Daphnia pulex: one gene and its partners. Each later gene encodes a partner of the first gene's protein in a complex. Links are inferred from orthologs where the notes say so. Each region holds a gene or a part of one and is shown in the gene's direction. Other genes may lie near its edges.

The links.
Region 2: eukaryotic translation initiation factor 3 subunit B-like (region 1) and eukaryotic translation initiation factor 3 subunit J-like share a complex: the UniProt entries of both Drosophila melanogaster proteins name them as parts of the eukaryotic translation initiation factor 3 (eIF-3) complex. The link is inferred for Daphnia pulex from reciprocal best matches to the Drosophila melanogaster genes eIF3b and eIF3j.
Region 3: eukaryotic translation initiation factor 3 subunit B-like (region 1) and eukaryotic translation initiation factor 3 subunit L-like share a complex: the UniProt entries of both Drosophila melanogaster proteins name them as parts of the eukaryotic translation initiation factor 3 (eIF-3) complex. The link is inferred for Daphnia pulex from reciprocal best matches to the Drosophila melanogaster genes eIF3b and eIF3l.

The regions. Positions count from the first base shown.
Region 1 is NC_060026.1:9,961,818-9,967,926, reverse strand, and holds eukaryotic translation initiation factor 3 subunit B-like, read left to right. Parts: upstream 1-1,831; 5' UTR 1,832-1,956; coding exon 1,957-2,089; intron 2,090-2,167; coding exon 2,168-2,363; intron 2,364-2,428; coding exon 2,429-2,735; intron 2,736-2,816; coding exon 2,817-3,212; intron 3,213-3,279; coding exon 3,280-3,527; intron 3,528-3,588; coding exon 3,589-3,833; intron 3,834-3,894; coding exon 3,895-4,064; intron 4,065-4,125; coding exon 4,126-4,329; intron 4,330-4,403; coding exon 4,404-4,512; intron 4,513-4,576; coding exon 4,577-4,674; 3' UTR 4,675-4,938; downstream 4,939-6,109. Other genes in the region: DNA-dependent protein kinase catalytic subunit-like, read right to left, coding at 1-74, 150-330, 401-513, 633-822, 893-1,071, 1,141-1,249. UniProt on the Drosophila melanogaster protein: RNA-binding component of the eukaryotic translation initiation factor 3 (eIF-3) complex, which is involved in protein synthesis of a specialized repertoire of mRNAs and, together with other initiation factors, stimulates binding of mRNA and methionyl-tRNAi to the 40S ribosome.
Region 2 is NC_060019.1:7,842,713-7,848,091, reverse strand, and holds eukaryotic translation initiation factor 3 subunit J-like, read left to right. Parts: upstream 1-2,739; 5' UTR 2,740-2,804; coding exon 2,805-2,826; intron 2,827-2,959; coding exon 2,960-3,054; intron 3,055-3,298; coding exon 3,299-3,358; intron 3,359-3,421; coding exon 3,422-3,614; intron 3,615-3,702; coding exon 3,703-3,873; intron 3,874-3,936; coding exon 3,937-4,127; 3' UTR 4,128-4,201; downstream 4,202-5,379. Other genes in the region: secretory carrier-associated membrane protein 2-like, read right to left, coding at 603-773, 848-933, 1,013-1,059, 1,125-1,226, 1,321-1,477, 1,567-1,695, 1,762-1,843, 1,904-2,005 and 2 more; coiled-coil domain-containing protein 39-like, read left to right, coding at 4,763-4,837, 4,909-5,028, 5,341-5,379. UniProt on the Drosophila melanogaster protein: Component of the eukaryotic translation initiation factor 3 (eIF-3) complex, which is involved in protein synthesis of a specialized repertoire of mRNAs and, together with other initiation factors, stimulates binding of mRNA and methionyl-tRNAi to the 40S ribosome.
Region 3 is NC_060018.1:1,451,913-1,458,122, reverse strand, and holds eukaryotic translation initiation factor 3 subunit L-like, read left to right. Parts: upstream 1-2,732; 5' UTR 2,733-2,878; coding exon 2,879-2,902; intron 2,903-2,963; coding exon 2,964-3,163; intron 3,164-3,230; coding exon 3,231-3,442; intron 3,443-3,503; coding exon 3,504-3,623; intron 3,624-3,685; coding exon 3,686-3,795; intron 3,796-3,853; coding exon 3,854-4,024; intron 4,025-4,087; coding exon 4,088-4,258; intron 4,259-4,319; coding exon 4,320-4,466; intron 4,467-4,529; coding exon 4,530-4,693; intron 4,694-4,753; coding exon 4,754-4,922; intron 4,923-4,986; coding exon 4,987-5,121; 3' UTR 5,122-5,204; downstream 5,205-6,210. Other genes in the region: tubulin beta chain, read right to left, coding at 1-282, 354-689, 1,379-1,435; voltage-dependent calcium channel subunit alpha-2/delta-3-like, read right to left, coding at 6,203-6,210. UniProt on the Drosophila melanogaster protein: Component of the eukaryotic translation initiation factor 3 (eIF-3) complex, which is involved in protein synthesis of a specialized repertoire of mRNAs and, together with other initiation factors, stimulates binding of mRNA and methionyl-tRNAi to the 40S ribosome.

The DNA.
Region 1 (6,109 bases):
GAACCAGGATTTGTATTGCTTTAGCAGCAAGTTATTGAAGAGAGATGCGTGTTCTTCCAGCATGTTCAATGCGGCTGTGCATAAAAAACAAAAACAAAAAATAAATAGTTCAGGCAAAATAATGAAAAACCAAATGTTAATATAACCACCTTTTTTGGTATGAACTCTCTTATCGACCAGTAAAAATTTCGTGAGAAGCATCAATAAGTAACTATGAATTTTTTCCCTACATTTTTGGTCAACGATTGAATTAAATGAATGGAGAAATCCTGTAAGAGCTTCAATACAGCCTGCTACACGTTTATCTTTGAAATCATGCTGCCTTTTCACCTTTAAAGAAAGAAAAAGAAAAATTATTTGATTTTACAGAACGTAATTATTTACGTTAATGTTTAGTTACCTCCTTTTCAAGTTCATAAAGGAGTTGGTTAATGATGCGACTGGCCTTTTCCTTCAGTGTACTAGGAAAGTACTGGGCCAGTCTGCCTAGGAGTACTAGGAAATTCATTTTCGCTAAAGTAAAACATAAATATTATAAATAACCATAGAAATACATATCTATGCATACACAGTAATAATACAATCTGCATAACAAACAGGGTAATTATACAATAGTCTTTTTAATTAATCACCTTTGCTTGAACTATCATCAGAAGATGTAGCCATTTTTTCAAAAAGCATATTAGAAAGGGCTGGCAAATTCAGTTCTTCTAATATTTCTGTTGGTGAAGTTTGAGCAGTAATAACAACTTGGCAAAGAACAAAATAACAAGCTCCTCGTATCTTAGAATTTTTGGAGTTCATGTACATCAATGCTAAATTCTTAAGGTAAATGAAAGTTATACTATTAGGTTTTTACACATAGCTAGGTAATATTAATTATTTTCCATACTTTAATAACCACTAAATGGTTGCTCATGGATTCTCCAAATTTTTCCAGTAAATCACCCAAAATTGACAGGGCACAATTTATTATTTCTGCAAAGTTGTCATCCTTTTGAGAATCTCTGAACTTGGACAACAAGGAAATTAATCCAATTTCTTTGTTTAGTAAAGCCGAGACAACAGAATCTTTAGAAAAAATACAATGTAAATGAATTGATTAACATGTTTTTGATGGGACCAATATTTGAAACCTACTGTCTTTGGTTTTGGATACAACATCTTTAATATCCTTGATTTGCTCCAGCATATCGCTGCACGTTCCAGAATGCATCTGAAATAGATAACCTTCCAATACGCTGTCCATTTTATATTCCTCGATGTTACCGACAACCGGACACTTTTAAAAGGCCAACTTCTTCTCGATTATTCGCAATTTTTACGACTTTAAAACTTTAATCATACATATTTAAATGTTAAGACAAGTTTTCAATTGTAGTGGTTCTTCAAAATTTTGCGATCAACGTTAACTCACGTAGGTTATAGGCCTAAGTGATGTTTTCATCCCTCCCGGGTTATGATGATTCGGCTGCTAGAATTGTGCTTTTGCGTAGGCATATTTGCCATGACTGATAGTTAGGCGTAATACATATTTGTAAAATATTCGCTATCATGGTTTTAAAATATCATTACGTTACTTTAAAAATATTTAAAAAAATTATTACCAACTCATTCCTCAAATGGGTATAAGGATTCAACTTTTTTGGAAATGAATAAATGTAGGCTATTTTCTGAAAACAAAAAAAAATCCAATGTATGATTATAATGCGAATAAAAATCAAGAAAAAATAATAATAATAAAAAATCTAAATTATTTTCCCTTCAGAAGATCCCGTTCTAGCTGACAGGCTAGGCTAGTCACCAAGTTACCTATGGTGTTTGGTGAATGGTGATTGCCTGATTGGTGGATGGTGGTTGCCTTGGCCTTCTCGATGGTAGTATTATTTGTTGAAATCTGGCACAGGCTTCCGCCATTAAAGACTCGTGTCCGGTGTGCAGTGCTTGTTTTTCATCATGGCTCGACGAAAAGAAAATGATCGAGCTCAGCAAAATAACGATGACTCGGATTCTAACCCAAACGATGAATTAGAAGACGAGCCCAACTTCGATGATCCGGAAGGTTATGAGGACGATATTTCTGAAGAAGGTACCGTTTGTAACTTACCTTTTGCCATATGGCTTTCCTGAGCATGCCGGCATTGAATCTTGCTAACTGTCAATGTAGATCTTATAGGTGACCTCATCAGGCAGCGTCCGAAAGAAACCGACGGAGTCGAATCAATTGTTGTTATTGACGGTGTTCCTCAGGTTGGTACTGAGAGGATAGAAAAACTTCAAAATGTCCTGAGAAAACTATTCCAAAAGTTTGGAAAAATAACTAATGAATATTATCCTCTTAATGCTGATGGATCAACTAAAGGGTAATTTATTAGTTTTTTTTTTAACTTTTGTGTCAGCCCAATTTTAACATAATATACTTTTGAAGCCATGTTTTCATAGAGTACTCAAATGCCAATGAAGCATTGGAAGTTCTTAAAGGAACTAATGGTTACAAGTTCGACAAAAATCACACCTTCACTGTGAACTTACTTACTGACTTCGAAAAATATAATGACATTCTTGATAAGTGGGAAAATCCAATTCCTCAGCCGTTTAAGGAGCAAGGATGCCTTCAATACTATCTTCTTGATCAAGACGCTTGTGACCAATTCTCAGTTGTGTATGAGCAGGGAGACAAAGTTGCTGTTTATTTGAACACTCAACCTGAACCCTCTCTGCTGGAAGAAAGACCTGTGAGTCACTTCACCTTTATTATTATTATTATTTTTTTTTTTCATATTAAAATTTTATCTGACCAATAATTATCTTCACAGAGATGGACTGAGACTCTAGTGCGGTGGTCACCTCTTGGCACCTATCTAGCCACTTTCCATGCAAAGGGTATAGCTCTTTGGGGTGGTGAAAAGTTTCAACAAATTGTGCGCTTCAGTCATCCAGGAGTGCAATTCATTGACTTCTCACCATGTGAGAAGTATTTAGTATCTTTTAGTCCACTGGCTGATTCAAGAGCAACTGATGAACCACAAGCCATCATCATTTGGGACGTGTTGAGCGGTCTTAAGCGACGAGCTTTTAATGCCGATAAATCTCAAGCCCTGCCCATTTTTAAGTGGTCGCATGATGACAAGTATTTCGCTAGGATGGGAATCGACATGCTTTCTGTTTATGAAACCCCATCATTTGGCCTTTTAGACAAGAAGTCGATCAAAGTAACGTACACGATTTACAAAATCTTCTAATAACCATTTCCTAACATGCACTCTTACATTTTGATAGGTTCAAGGAATTCGAGATTTTGCCTGGAGCCCAACAGACAATACGATTGCTTATTGGGTCGGAGAGGAGAAAGATACTCCTGCTCGCGTCACACTTCTTGAGTTGCCAAGTCGCAATGAAGTGCGAGTCAAAAATTTGTTTAGCGTTGCCGACTGTAAAATGTATTGGCAAAAATCAGGTGACTATTTGTGTGTGAAAGTCGACCGCTATGCCAAATTAAGGAAAGATAAGTCCGATATCAAATACAGGTAATGAGATGCCACTCCTTCAATTAATAGATATAAAAGCTAATTTTCCCCCCTTTGATAGCGGTATCTACTACAATTTGGAAGTTTTCCACATGCGAGAAAAACAAATTCCAGTCGACTCGGTAGAAATCAAGGAAACCATTCAAGCTTTTGCGTGGGAGCCAGTTGGTACTAAGTTTGCCGTCATCCACGGTGAGCCACCGAGTACTTCTGTTTCTTTCTTCGAAGTTAAAACTGGACAAACGCCTACGATGGTTAAAAAATACGAACGTAAACCTTGCAACCAGTTGTACTGGGCCCCTTCTGGTAAGAAAACATTAAATTTAATGTTAAAATTCTAAAATCCTTACTATACTTTATCGAACAGGCCAGTTCATTGTGTTAGCCGGCCTACGTGCCATGTCTGGCACATTGGAATTTGTCGACACCCATGATTTTACCGTCATGAATACGGGCGAACACTTCATGGCTACTGATGTGGAGTGGGATCCAACCGGTCGGTATGTCGCAACTGCTGTTTCCTGGTGGGGTCACAAGGTAACAAAAATCAAGCAATGTATTCATTTTTGACAATGTTTGATCTCTTGTACTTTGACAGGTCGATAATGCCTACTGGTTGTGGTCCTTCCAAGGACGCATTCTCAAACGCGTAGCACTAGACAAATTCTGTCAGCTGCAATGGAGACCTCGACCACCTTCATTACTTCCAGCCCAACAAATAAAGGACATTAAGAAGTCTTTGAAGAAATTTAGTGCCCAATTCGAAGTGAAGGATCGATTGAAAATGACTAAAGCTTCCAAAGTAAATATTTTTTGAATGTGTAATTTTTGGCGAAAGTATTTTCTAAAAATCTGACATTTTCAAACTTCACCCAGGAATTGGTAGAAAAACGCCGCAAACTGATGCAAGAATATGAAGACTTGCGTAAGCAGAAGCAAGAGGACTATGACGCTCAACGTCGCCGTCGTATCGAATTGCGCAACAGTAAGTTCTTAAACCTAGTTAATAAGTAAGCTTATCAGGATTTAACTCACAAATGAATTCACAGACGTGGATACGGATGAAACTGAAGGCCGTGGAGGGGAATTAGAAGAGGAGACAGTCGAGTTTTTCATTAAAGAGGAGACGACATTCATCGACGAGTAATTGCCAAGACTGTAAACAATCACCACATCTTGAGGCGTGCTGCTTATTCAGTGAAAGGCAGCACATCTCGAGGTTTTTGTCAGATATTAATATCCGACAAATCCAACATCAGAAAATGAAGACAAATATAATTGTGTGTCTCATCGATTGGTTATGGCTGTTTGCGTCTCTCTTTGGTTTCAACTATCATGTACCCTTTAGATTATCAAAAATACATTTTGATTGCCTCGTCGCAACTGAAGTTGAACGAGAAGTAAAAAGGAATATATTGTACATGTTTCTGTTTGGGAAAAATTTACCGTTAACATTCGTTGATCAATAAGTCTGCAAATTTTTCTATAATGTTAGTCTTAAACTCTTAACAGAGATATACTCTTTCTTATAGTGCCCGAGGGTACTGTAATCGAAACATGGAGTTCGATCATTTTGACAGCAGAGTAATGAAAGACTGGAAGTACTTAAATTTTCCATGGCTTGAATTAGTTAGCATTTCGGAATTTATGGGTTATAGTGGGAAATGGAATTGAAGTCTGAAGGAAATGACGGATTTATAGAATGTTGGAAACTGGAATGGATTGGAAAATTGGAAAAACAAAAATATTATTTTTACTACTACATTTTTTTCTGGTGCGTGCGGCAACGTTGTCTCACATTATGACACGAAGTTGGGTGTGAAGTGGTGTGAAGAAGAAGGCGAAGTTTTCATTTCGATCAGTTTTGTCAGACATGGTAATGGTAAAATCTATTGCACTCCGGAGTCCGGAGCGCTCTAGTGTCAAAAGTGGCTATTGCACTCCGGAGTCCGGAGTCCTCTAGCGTCAAAAGTGGCTATTGCACTCCGGAAAGGAAATATGTAGTACTTTCATTTGGCGACCGATGGCATTCTGTTTCTGTGTTTTGAAATTTGAATGGTTTAGATTTGAATTATTTGGAAATTCAAATAAAATGTATTTATAACAATCAAATATATTTGAATCTCACTAATAAATAAAAATAGTCAGTGTATAGAAGGAACTTTTATTTCGTTATCGTTAACTTAGCTAGAGTACAATGTCCAACATTGAATCAGCTTAAAATTCAAATTGTTAATATAGTTAAGTGTCTTGCAGCAGGAATAAAGTAGAATTTATAAACATTTCAATTCAGGGTGATATTTCTTGTTAACCATTTCAATGTCTTGCTCTATATGCTCAGTGTTATTATTTATATTATATCATTATATTCAAAGTAAGGATTTAAACAGGTTGTTAAACACGCTATAAACGCACGACATAGTGAGTCACCCTCTGTCACCCCCTTACTTGCCCGAAGGTCGAGCCGGAGTTCTCAGAACGGGGCTTCGAGGGGTTCTTTGTGACCTTTAAACGAATTGACCAGCAACTAACTATTTCTGCTGATTGATTCACACGTAACGTGTGATTCAGCTCTATTACAC
Region 2 (5,379 bases), on another chromosome or scaffold:
GGTAAAGGTGAAATTATTAACGGGCAGGCTAAAGTCATTGAAATGTTCTGCAGCGGCGTTAAACTACAGCATGGATTTGTTTTTCTTACGATCTCACAGAGTTATTAGCAATACTTTTTCCTGTTTGTCCAGTTCAGAACCTTAACGTAACAGCGTCTCAGAATTTCTCCCGAATTTTCGAATTTAGCTGATTTAGGAAAAACTCGTTTCAATCGCTCCTTCACTTTGATTAATAATAATTTAAAAAAAAAATCCGAGCTTGATCCAAGATGCCCTACTAAAATACGGTATGATAAACAGTGTTTCTTTCACGTAATCAACCTGACTGAGAAAAGACGAACAAGAAGAAAAAGAAAAGACAACAAACGTTACAAAGATTAAAAAATAAAAAACAGCAAAGGGTTTGCATCGCAAATGATTGATATAGATGTATAAATCAAGAGAACGATTAGCTTTGAATAACGAGATTCACACGTTGTGTTCTGAAGATTCTTTTCCCCCCTCGTAATACATGTAAATGTTTAAACTAGAAGATGATTTGAGAAAAGCCCGATGATTAAAGGGTGGAATTATCGTTCGAAAAAAAAAGTGATAGAAATCGCTTAGAAGCGAGGTCCTGTACCACCAGATGGGTTACTCATTTGAGCTCGAACAGCTGAGCCGACAACGTCAGCAGCGGCTCCACGGACGTGCTCATTACGCATTACTCCAGAAGTGAACTCCGCCTGGGCTTTAGAGAAAGAAGCTCCCGTGCTGCGGTACAAACGGCTGACCTTTAAGGGATACGCAAATATTTTATGATGAACTGCGCAAACAATTCTGGGATTTTAAAGAAAAAACTTCTTACTCTGACGAGGAGAAGAAAATCTCCCAAAGCGACAACTCCAAATCCCAACCCGATAAGCAAGACTAAAATTCCAACAGCAAGATCTCCTGAAATGGTGATAAATCCAAACAAAACAAAATATTAGAATATCATAACCTTCAGCAGTACTTGGTACCAGGAACTCACCCCCACTAGTCCGCCCGCCAATTGTAGATAATCCAGTGATGAATCCGCTGTTGAAAGATTGGATAAATAAGGATAAATAAACATTCACAACATTCGCATGACTCATAGTTACCATGTTCCCAAATTAGGTATGCCAATAGCTTGGATGACGGTTGCTATTAGTTGGCCAAAGTAGATGACGAAAAAAACCATGAAATTGAATGAGCTGTCCGATCTAAAACACGACAAAAAACACACGTTTACAAAACAAAACGAATTCCTTCTAAAAAGTGAAGTTAAGCCATAATTTTAGAAATATGAGGGCGGACCTGAATGCCTTGTAGACAGGTCGAAACCAGCAAAGATAAGAAGCTGGTGTGAAAAGGATGCAGTATAGGATTGACAAGCCAAACATGGCACCACTTCCCACTTGAATGAATAAGGCTAAGCAGCCCAAAACATTTAGAAGATACATGAGGGTGTGCACTGAAAATAAAGAAACAAAACAAAATCAATAAAAGTTTCTGATAACAAAAATAAACTTAAACAAGAAATCTATGATATGTTTAACTTACGCATCCAAATATAGTATAACATGCGGACAATTTTTTGAAATTCAAGTGGGATTTCCACATTGATGTCTTGATAGAAGCATGGTTGGACACAAAACTTGTCAGGCAGTGGTGGCCAATTATTGCGCTGAGCTGTAATGAAGAAGTAAATAACAGAAATTAAAAAGTAAAGTTTCATTTAAATTTGTTCTCTCCTACAGTTGAATGGTACATTATTCTTTAATTCTTCTTCTCGCCTCTGCAATTCTTGAGCTTTCTTCTCTAGTTCTTCTTGACGTCTCTATAAAACCATGCAATATAATGAATAAAGATTTCCTTCTTTCTTTTTAAGTTTTAATACTTGAAAATCCGCATTTGACATAGCTGCTTGTTGTTGTGGTCCTGGAGATATCACTGGGGCAGCTTGAATTGTTGGGGGTGGATTGGCTCCACCAACACGGTCCTTAAATTTTGTAACAAATCAAACACACTTCCCACTTTCATGATAAAATTATGTTTTACCATTGAAACTCTGGTAGTTTGATTACTACCATCAAAAGGGTTGTATTCTTCAAGACCTTGCTGAGCTCTCGCAGCATTGTTTCCTGCAGCTTGCTGGACAGATGGATCCTATTGTGAAAGTAAACAACCACTTTACCACTAAACTAATAAACAAGGTGATTTTTCAAAAGGTTTTCTTTCATATTGTATGCGGCGAGTACTCCATGAATCACCAGTTTTCAACCAAGGTATTAGTATGGTAATAGTAAGTATAATATACATATTATAAATAATCTACCGCAAACGGGTTGAAAACAGCCGGTTCTGCAAAAGGATTCTGATCAAATCCAGACATTATCAAATATTTCTTTTTTTAACTTCGGTCACTTTGTTACTCCAATTTGCGGTAACTTTTGTTTCGACGGTCACCGTGAAACGTCAACTCAACTAATACAGACAGAAACTCCTATCAATTGCTAAATAACAGGTAATGTCAGAGAAAAGCAGTTCGGAAACAGGCAAACACTAGCGCCTCTGGAAGACAGAAACACTAGACTAAGCAACGCTGGGATTAACGAGATATCTCAGGTAAAAAAAATTAAATAATTCATAATAAAAGGTTTGCAATAAAGTTTCAAAATTTAATTATTGTTAGGTTTCTATATTTAATATTTTGTAATGCACATATTAACATTATTAGAAAAGTGAAAGCATTTGGCAACTGCCATGGACACTAGTGTGTTCACGATTTTTCGTTGAAGATGGAGGCCGAGGCGGATTGGGGTGATTTTATTTAATTATTTCTATATTAAGTTATTCAATTCCACCTGTTTTTTGTATGAAATTCTCAATAGTGCATATCAAAGTTCCATTTAATCGTATACTCTAATCAAATACGATTTTGTGGTGATTATAGATGCCGAAGATTTTGAACCCTCTGTCCCTGTTCCAGTTACGACTGCCATAATTTCAGATAAATGGGAAGGTGAGGATGAAGATGAACCTGTCAAGGTGAGTTGTAATTCAATTGTGATGATATTAGTAGTAAGTATATCTACAAATTTGGTAGAACCTTGTAGCGCTTGTAGTGAAAAAAAGTTCTCTCAGTACCTTTCTATTTCTGCTCCAATTCTTACAACTTTCACTTGACTACCATGTGTCTTCTTTTGCCAAAAAATTCTTATTGCTCAATGAGTTTTACATAAAGTTGTGATTGATTTCAAAATTATCATTTTTTCTTGTTTATAAATGATAGGATAGCTGGGAAGATGAAGAAACAGAAAATAAGCCTGCTGAAGTCAAAGCAGCAGCCACAGTAAGTACATGTGATCTCTCGTAAAAGTATCCAAAAAATTTAAAATGTGTTTGTTACTTTCAGGCTACCAAAAAAAAGTCAAGTAAAAGATTAGAAGAAAAAATAGCCGAAAAAGAAAAGAAAAGCAGAGAAGAAGCTGAAGCCAGAAAAATATTGCAGGAAGCAAACATGACACCTGAAGAGAGAATAGCAGAAAAGCTTCGGAGACAAAAACTAGTTGAAGAATCAGATTTTGAAATGGCCAAGGAAACCTTTGGTAAGTTGTCTTAGGAAACTGTATTGCTGACCTGCACTAAGCATGATTTGTTTTATATTTTGTTCTCAATGTTATTTTTATTTTCCAGGAATTACTGGTAGTTTGCCTACAGAGGGAAGCATAGATGAAGCAAACCCTTCATCTAAAGAGGAATTCTCAGAATTCAAGAACAACTTGGTGAAAAAACTTCAGTCATTGTCAACTAAAGCGTGCTATAATGATTTTATAGAGGACTTCATTAAAGATGTTTGCATTGGATGTAAGTCACATTTTCTAATGTTGGTTGCTAAAAACTTTTCTACATCCCAGTTTTTCAACATAGTGGAAGTCGAAGTCCTTAGAAAAGTTAGTCTAACTACCAAATCCTTGCACGAAGAAAAACTCAAGATGGTGAAGGCGGCGACAAAAGGTGGAAAGAAAGGAAAAACAAAAGTTGCTTTAAAAATGGACAAAGGAATGGTCGACAACTTCGGTGATGATTTCGGAGGAGGAGACTATGACGACTTCATGTAGGGTCCAATTGTTTTTCTTTTGTTTTTGGCGGGAAAAGGTTTATTGGTAAAATAAATGTATGATTTTGCCATTTTGCTCTTGTCAGTTTTTTCAGTGTTTTAAGATATATTGAGATTGAATTTCTGTTAAAAGTTAAAACCTCCCTCTTAATTATTCTAATTCAATATATAGAGTTAAGTTGCATATTTTCTTAGACGTTCCAGTTTTCTACTTTTAGCGTCAAAAAAGGAGATGGTGACAGTTGTAAAGTTAGATGTAGTTAGATGTATTTGTCCCATTGAATGCTACACACTGTCAAAAGTAAGCAAATAACTTTCAATATTTATTTTTTTAAATTTGAGTTTTGAGTACCCCGCAAATTTGTATACTGGTGAATCCTTATTTGATACCCAGTGGGCGTAAGAGAGGGGATTAGGGGGGTTTTGTTTTTAAAATGTAATGGAAATCGTTGCCGTGGCAGCCGGCTGCATGCCTAATCAATAAATGAAGCACGTGCGTTTCCTGCTGAGTAGCAGACTAGTAGTGGCATAAAAGTGGTTGTTTGGTCGATACTTCTAACTCGTTATATGGCGTTTCACTGTGAGAAAGTTCGTTAATGAATTTCTGGAGTGATAGAGCACAAGTTGAGCAAGAAAATGGAACTAAAAGAAGTTAACGGAGCAGAGTTTTTGCCTTTAGCAAACGCAAGAAACCGACTGCTTCAACAAAATGTAAGCAACAAGTTTTCCCGTATTTTAAATCCAGAATTGATTTCAATTAAATCGTATATCAATGTACACAGGTCCGAGACAAGCGAAATAAACTCGCTCAGCTACTAATGGAACTCGATCAAAATGAAAATGTTGTTAAAACTGCCGAACAAGATCTCACGACGCTTGAACAAAGCACACAACAAACACATGTAAGTAGAGATCTGCTCATGATGGCCATGGTTCACGGTCCAACAACTTTCATATTGCTAAACAGATTTTTCCTGCTTGTTTTGTGTTCAAAGTTTGTATCATTAAATGTTGTTCTGTTGTCTGAAAATGCGTCAGAAGATGACATGACGTAAAAGCAATTTCTGCATAGACAAGTCTCACTTAATCACCTCGTTATTAACGAGGCAATTAACCATGGATATCATATTTATACTTCATGCAGGGCTGATTGATTTGATGAAGAAAGCATGGATTTTAACTTTTAATTAATAAATTAAATTTTTAAATCAAAGGTTCTGGCAAAAAATATTCGCAATCAAGTACGCCAGGAA
Region 3 (6,210 bases), on another chromosome or scaffold:
CAAGTCACCATAGGTGGGCGTTGTCAATTTGAGTGTGCGGAAGCAGATATCGTAGAGAGCTTCATTGTCGATACAATAGGTCTCGTCCGTATTTTCGACCAATTGGTGGACCGAAAGAGTGGCGTTGTACGGCTCGACGACAGTGTCGGACACTTTTGGTGAGGGGACAACAGAATATGTGTTCATGATACGGTCAGGATACTCTTCACGGATCTTGGAGATGAGCAAAGTTCCCATGCCAGATCCAGTTCCGCCACCAAGGGAGTGTGTCAGCTGGAAACCCTGTTTTCACATGACAGCAAAACTTTTATTATAAAAAATCATCTCATTCCAAATTAAAAAGAGTTATTTACCTGAAGGCAATCGCAGCTCTCGGCTTCTTTGCGGACAACGTCAAGAACAGAGTCGACCAATTCAGCTCCTTCAGTGTAGTGACCTTTGGCCCAGTTGTTACCGGCTCCACTTTGGCCAAAGACGAAATTGTCAGGGCGGAAGAGCTGGCCAAACGGTCCCGAACGAACGGAATCCATGGTGCCAGGCTCCAAATCCACAAGAACAGCACGGGGAACGTATTTGCCTCCGCTTGCTTCATTATAGTAGACATTGATGCGTTCCAGTTGCAGTTCAGACTCGCCGTGGTAGGTGCCATTAGGTTGGATTCCATGCTCGTCAGAAATGATTTCCCAAAACTGCAGGAAAAGGTAAACAAAAAAAGAGGGAGAGTTAGAAAAACCTGCCCAATTTCAATGAGTTTTTAAGTGCTATACACACAGTATAAAATCTAACTACACCTAGGGAGGAACTGCTAGATAACCCATCAGTAAGGGCGCTGTCACAATGAGGGGTTGGAAAATGTCGGGGGAGGGGATGTTGTTTCACATACAATTGCCCAATCGAATTCGGTTCACATCTGCCACATGGATGCGCGATATAACATTTGAAGGTTAGAGGGGAGGCTCACATTTACTTTTTAAGTTTATGGTCGTTAGCCTCAATTTTTTTTTTACCCCACCACTTGGCACGACTACACTATCCGGTTTTTTAAAAAACAAAGTGCATCGAAACAAAACTAATTAGAACTCGCCTTTTTGTGATCTTGCCGGGTACCGGTTCACCATTCAAGCCTGGAAGCTTTAGATTGATGGCATGAACAATCGAGAAGATTGCATGAGAAAGGAGTATGCAATCAAATCAACAACATTACATTTACTCTTTTTTTTTTTGCAACATCTTGAGATGAAAGGGGCCGGACAACAAAGAAAAATGGCGGACTAGCGCCAAATGGGCATAAAAAAGGTGTCTTGCACACCGGTCTTTCACTGCAGCAAACCATGTCAAATATCTTATCATTCTAAAATAATGAAAATATAATATTTACCTTGGCTCCAATCTGGTTACCACACTGTCCAGCTTGAATATGAACGATTTCACGCATTTTCTAATATTTTTCGAAATGAAATTGAAAGAGAAAAACTCTCAAGTTTAACGGTCAACGTGCCTCGCGCTGGAATCCTCTGGATATGAATTTCCGTTTGCAATGGGACTGGCATTTATAACCTCATGAACAGCCTTGGGTGCAAGAGGGCGGAGCTTGATTGTGTTGCGCATTGCCATTGGTCCACGAAATCAAACATGAAAGCCAAATCCTTATTGGGAGATTCGAAATTTGCGTCCGCGCGTTTCGGTTATTTTTTGCTCCTAGAGATGCAGAGTTTATATGTTTCTGTATATAGTTGGCTGAATATTAAAAAACGGAGATATGACCCAATCAAAATTCTAAATAAGTAGAGAAATATTTGCAGGGCAACGTTTTTGGTTTGTCTCTAGTTCCTTTTATTGAACGTTATAATCTTAAACTTCAAAAAATGCCTGCTTCCATTTAAGTTCAGTAAAATATTAGAATTAAATATAAAGTTTCGATTAAAGATAAGATAACCCACTTATTGTCATCGGTGTGGCGAATATGGTAAGAAATAACACGCTTTGAAAATTCATTCCTTTTCCGTGGTTGGTATGTGATTGAAATATTGCCAATTACGTCTCTAAAAGGAAAGAAAACCGGGAACCGTATAAATTCAAAAACCAGTTTGTACGGCATCATGGTTTGCGATTTTCGAGTTGATTTCAAAGTAATAAAACCTGTTCGGCACTATTAACCATTGACTCCAGCATAGTTTTATGTAATCCTGCTTAAATGCATTAGGCATAATGGTCACATGAAACCACAAAACACTTATTCCAAACATGGCAAATAATCACCATGACAGCAGTACACACATGTATGCCGGTGAATCACGCGACAGGGGACGAGCCGGAGCCGGCGAGAAACGTAAAAACTCGGTCCCAGTTGTAGCAGACCTCTGCCAGACACGATCAATACTTATGTGTCTAGACAACCCATCCTGCAACTGCAACAAATCCACCTCAGCAGTGTTTTTATGGTTCCTGGGAAACACAGCCTGAATGCAGCTATTGGAGTGCTTGATGTCTTCATCCGTAAATTTGAAACAATTTTGGTAACCATTTTCTTTGAATATTTACTTCCTGATCAACTTTTGATCATGATTTGATATACTTGCTATAAAACAGAAAAACAGAATTGTAATGGCAGTCCCGTTTAGCATTGAAATCTGTTAAGTTTAAGGTAAATTAATCTCAACCGGAGTAAATAAGTTTGACGATCGATTTTTACATTCGAATTTTTGACAGATGATCTTTTGGAAAATTGTTGAGTACATGCGGCAACGCTGTGCAGCTACTATTATTTGACACTAGAGCCACTAGTAATCGAAATAGTAATCTTACTCGTGGACTTTTCTCAATTTTCCGCAATTTTCAATTGAAATTTAATAACTATCGGTATTGAAAAACCTAAAAGATGTATGCCGAAGAATTTGAGGATGTAAGTGTACAATAATTACAACATGTTCTGTACCTATCATCAAAAACTTTTTCATTTGTAGTACGAGTATGAAGCCGATGCCTATGAGCCAACCGGGGATCCACGGCTTGATGCTGAAAATGAACGATACACTAGCTATGGAAGTGCTCCCCAATATGCTCAATATAGCATGCCGGATGTGATCAAGAAATTCATTATTTATTTTCGAGAGATGGTAAACTCTGGAAAGTTGTATGAAATTCAGAATGTCTACGAGAACACGTAAGCCCACCACAGTGCCTGTCAGACAAAGTTGAATTGTTGATCCATTGTTTTTTACTCCATTTAGATTTCCAAAATTAACTGAAGAGCACTTCAAATCATCCCCTTGGCCTGATGCAGATGAAGTTTCCCCATTAGTGGATGATGATCAACCGTTTCTGATTCTCTACAAGGAACTTTACTATCGCCACATTTATGCACGAATCCAAGGAGGACCAACAATTGAACAACGTTTTGAGTCTTACTACAACTACTGTCAACTTTTCAACCATATTTTGAGTACTAACTTCACTAATTTTTAGATGTTTGCCCAAAGCCTTCATAAACCATTTTACTACAGGTGCTAAAAGTCCAGTTGTTTTGGAGCTTCCTCATCAATGGCTGTGGGAAATAATTGATGAATTTGTCTACCAGTTCCAGTCTTTTGCTCTTTTTCGTTGTTCTCTTCATAAGAAATCAGGTACACCCATCATCTTATGCTCCATCTTTTCTTTTCTCACCATTTTTTTTTTTTTTTTACAGCTGAAGAACTTGAATTCATCAGAATCAACCCAACTTTGTGGAACATTCATTCTGTATTGAATGTGTTGTATTCTTTGGTTGACAAATCCAATATCAACCAACAATTGGAAGTAAGAAGGAGAGAATCATTATTGGTTGTAATTTAAAATTAATACAATCGATATGTAGGTATACGCCAAAGGTGATGATCCCGATACCGTAGCAGGAGAATTTGGCCGCCGACCTCTTTATAAAATGTTGGGTTACTTCAGTCTTGTTGGATTACTGAGACTCCACTCATTATTAGGAGATTTCTATCAAGCTGTTAAGGTTCTTGAAAATATGGAACTCAATAAAAAGGTAAGCGCAAAATTAAAAATGATTTGCATTGCTTGTAAACGTAATCCATCAATCTCATTTTAGACTCTGTACTCCAGAGTACCTGCCTGCCAAATCTCAACTTACTATTATGTTGGTTTTGCTTATTTGATGATGAGGCGGTATGCTGATGCTATTCGGACGTTTTCCCATATTCTACTCTACGTCCAGCGCACTAAGCCATTATACCAGGCTAAAACATACCAAAATGACCAGGTCAATTAGATTTAAGTGAAATGAAATACTGAAATCTTAATCTCCTTTTTTGTGTTTATAGATCAACAAACAAACCGAAAAAATGTACGTTCTACTGTCGGTGTGCCTCGTTCTTCATCCTCAGCGCATCGACGAATCTCTACAGGCGATCCTGCGAGAGAAACCTCATGCCGAACGCATCGTGCGGATGCAAAAGGGAGAACTTCAAGTGAGTTTCTGTTGATATTTTTTAAAGTTAAAGCAACAATTTAAATTTGTTCAATTATGTTAGGAATTCGAAAATGCATTCGCTTTCGCTTCTCCGAAATTTTTGTCTCCTGTTCCACCTCCTGTCGAAGCACCACCTGCCGATCATCGCCGTGAACCATTTCAACAGTTGGCAAAAGTTTTCATGGATGAAGTACAACAGCAACTTACTTTGCCAACGATTCGCAGGTATTTGTTCAACATTAGATTTGAATGTCCGAGTATTATTAACATAAATTTTCTGTTTAGTTATCTACGTTTGTACACTACTATGCCTGTCGCCAAAATGGCTGCGTTTTTGGAAATGCCCGATACTGATTTCCGCACCCATCTGCTATGCTTCAAACATAAGATGAAGAACGTCGTTTGGACTAAAGGCACCTCTGGATTGGACGGTGAACTCCAATCAGGCTCTGAGGTGAAATATCTTAGAATTGTAGTTCTAGTGGAATGTATCTTATTTACGCTTTTGCTCGCATTAGGTGGACTTCTATATCGATGGCGGAATGATCCATATTGCTGACACGAAAGTAGCTCGGCGCTATGGTGATTACTTCATTAGACAAATCCATAAATTCGAGGAAATTAACCGCGTATTGAAGACACAAAAAGTTTAAAAATCCGATGCTTTACCTCCTTTAAATATGTTTTACATCTTATTGGTTTTTCAAAGGCAAAATACATAACATGGAGGAAGTTAGTGATTTTTAACTTTTTTTAAAGAGAATTTTTTTCTTACCTTTAAGTCCGACAAGTTACAAGGAAGTCAAATGAAATGAATGTAAGGCCACCAGTGATGTTATGTACGTTTCTCTTATTTTTGAATGTATTCAAATGATAAGATTATTTTTATTAGAGAACATTTTTTAAATAATTGGACCGAAGATCTTACTAGAAATGTAGACCATTGGCATCCTCATAGGAAATGTAAAAAAAAAAAAATGCTATCTAAAATCAAACAAGGGGAATTCAAACACACAAGGGCAATTTGAAAATTTTCAGTTTCAGTCAAAGCATCAGTAGGGAATATGAGTTTTTTTTTCATGAAAAAAAGCACTAACAAAAAGGATGACACGCATTACCCACGGCAGATGGAACGAGAAGAATCGTATTTGCAGTAACGGGCACATGAAAAGGACCTTATGTCCCCTCTCCAAAACAAAAAGCATTCGATTACTGCTGGTTGAAATTAGAATATCAAACGTCAATGTGAGAGTTTTAAATAAATTTAACATTTCAGGACTGTAACAATTTGAAAATTAAGAAATAACAAGCTTGTCAGTCACCACCACAATTAGTCCATAGAGCTCACGACAAACAATTACGCACCATTTACCAGCCAGATGAAGAAGCACGCTCCGTACCAGAACATTTTATAACAATTGATATGTATGAAGTAGGCTTAGTACGTTTTCTTATCCAGCTGAATACTTTGTTGGGAAGTCGTCTTTTTTTTTAAGCCCAATGTCGCTCACACTATGCACATTCATAACCCATGGTATCACCAACACGCACACTAAAGTCATCAATTTAGATCCATAAATAAATAAGAGCTGTTGATACATGTCGACCACCATACATCGGGAGACTAATAAACTAGCCAAATAATATAAAAATTTTGAGGACCCGAGAATTATGAATCACCCATTCACTCAATCAAAATGATGCAACAAGACATGCGGGACCGGTGAAATCAAATTAAATCC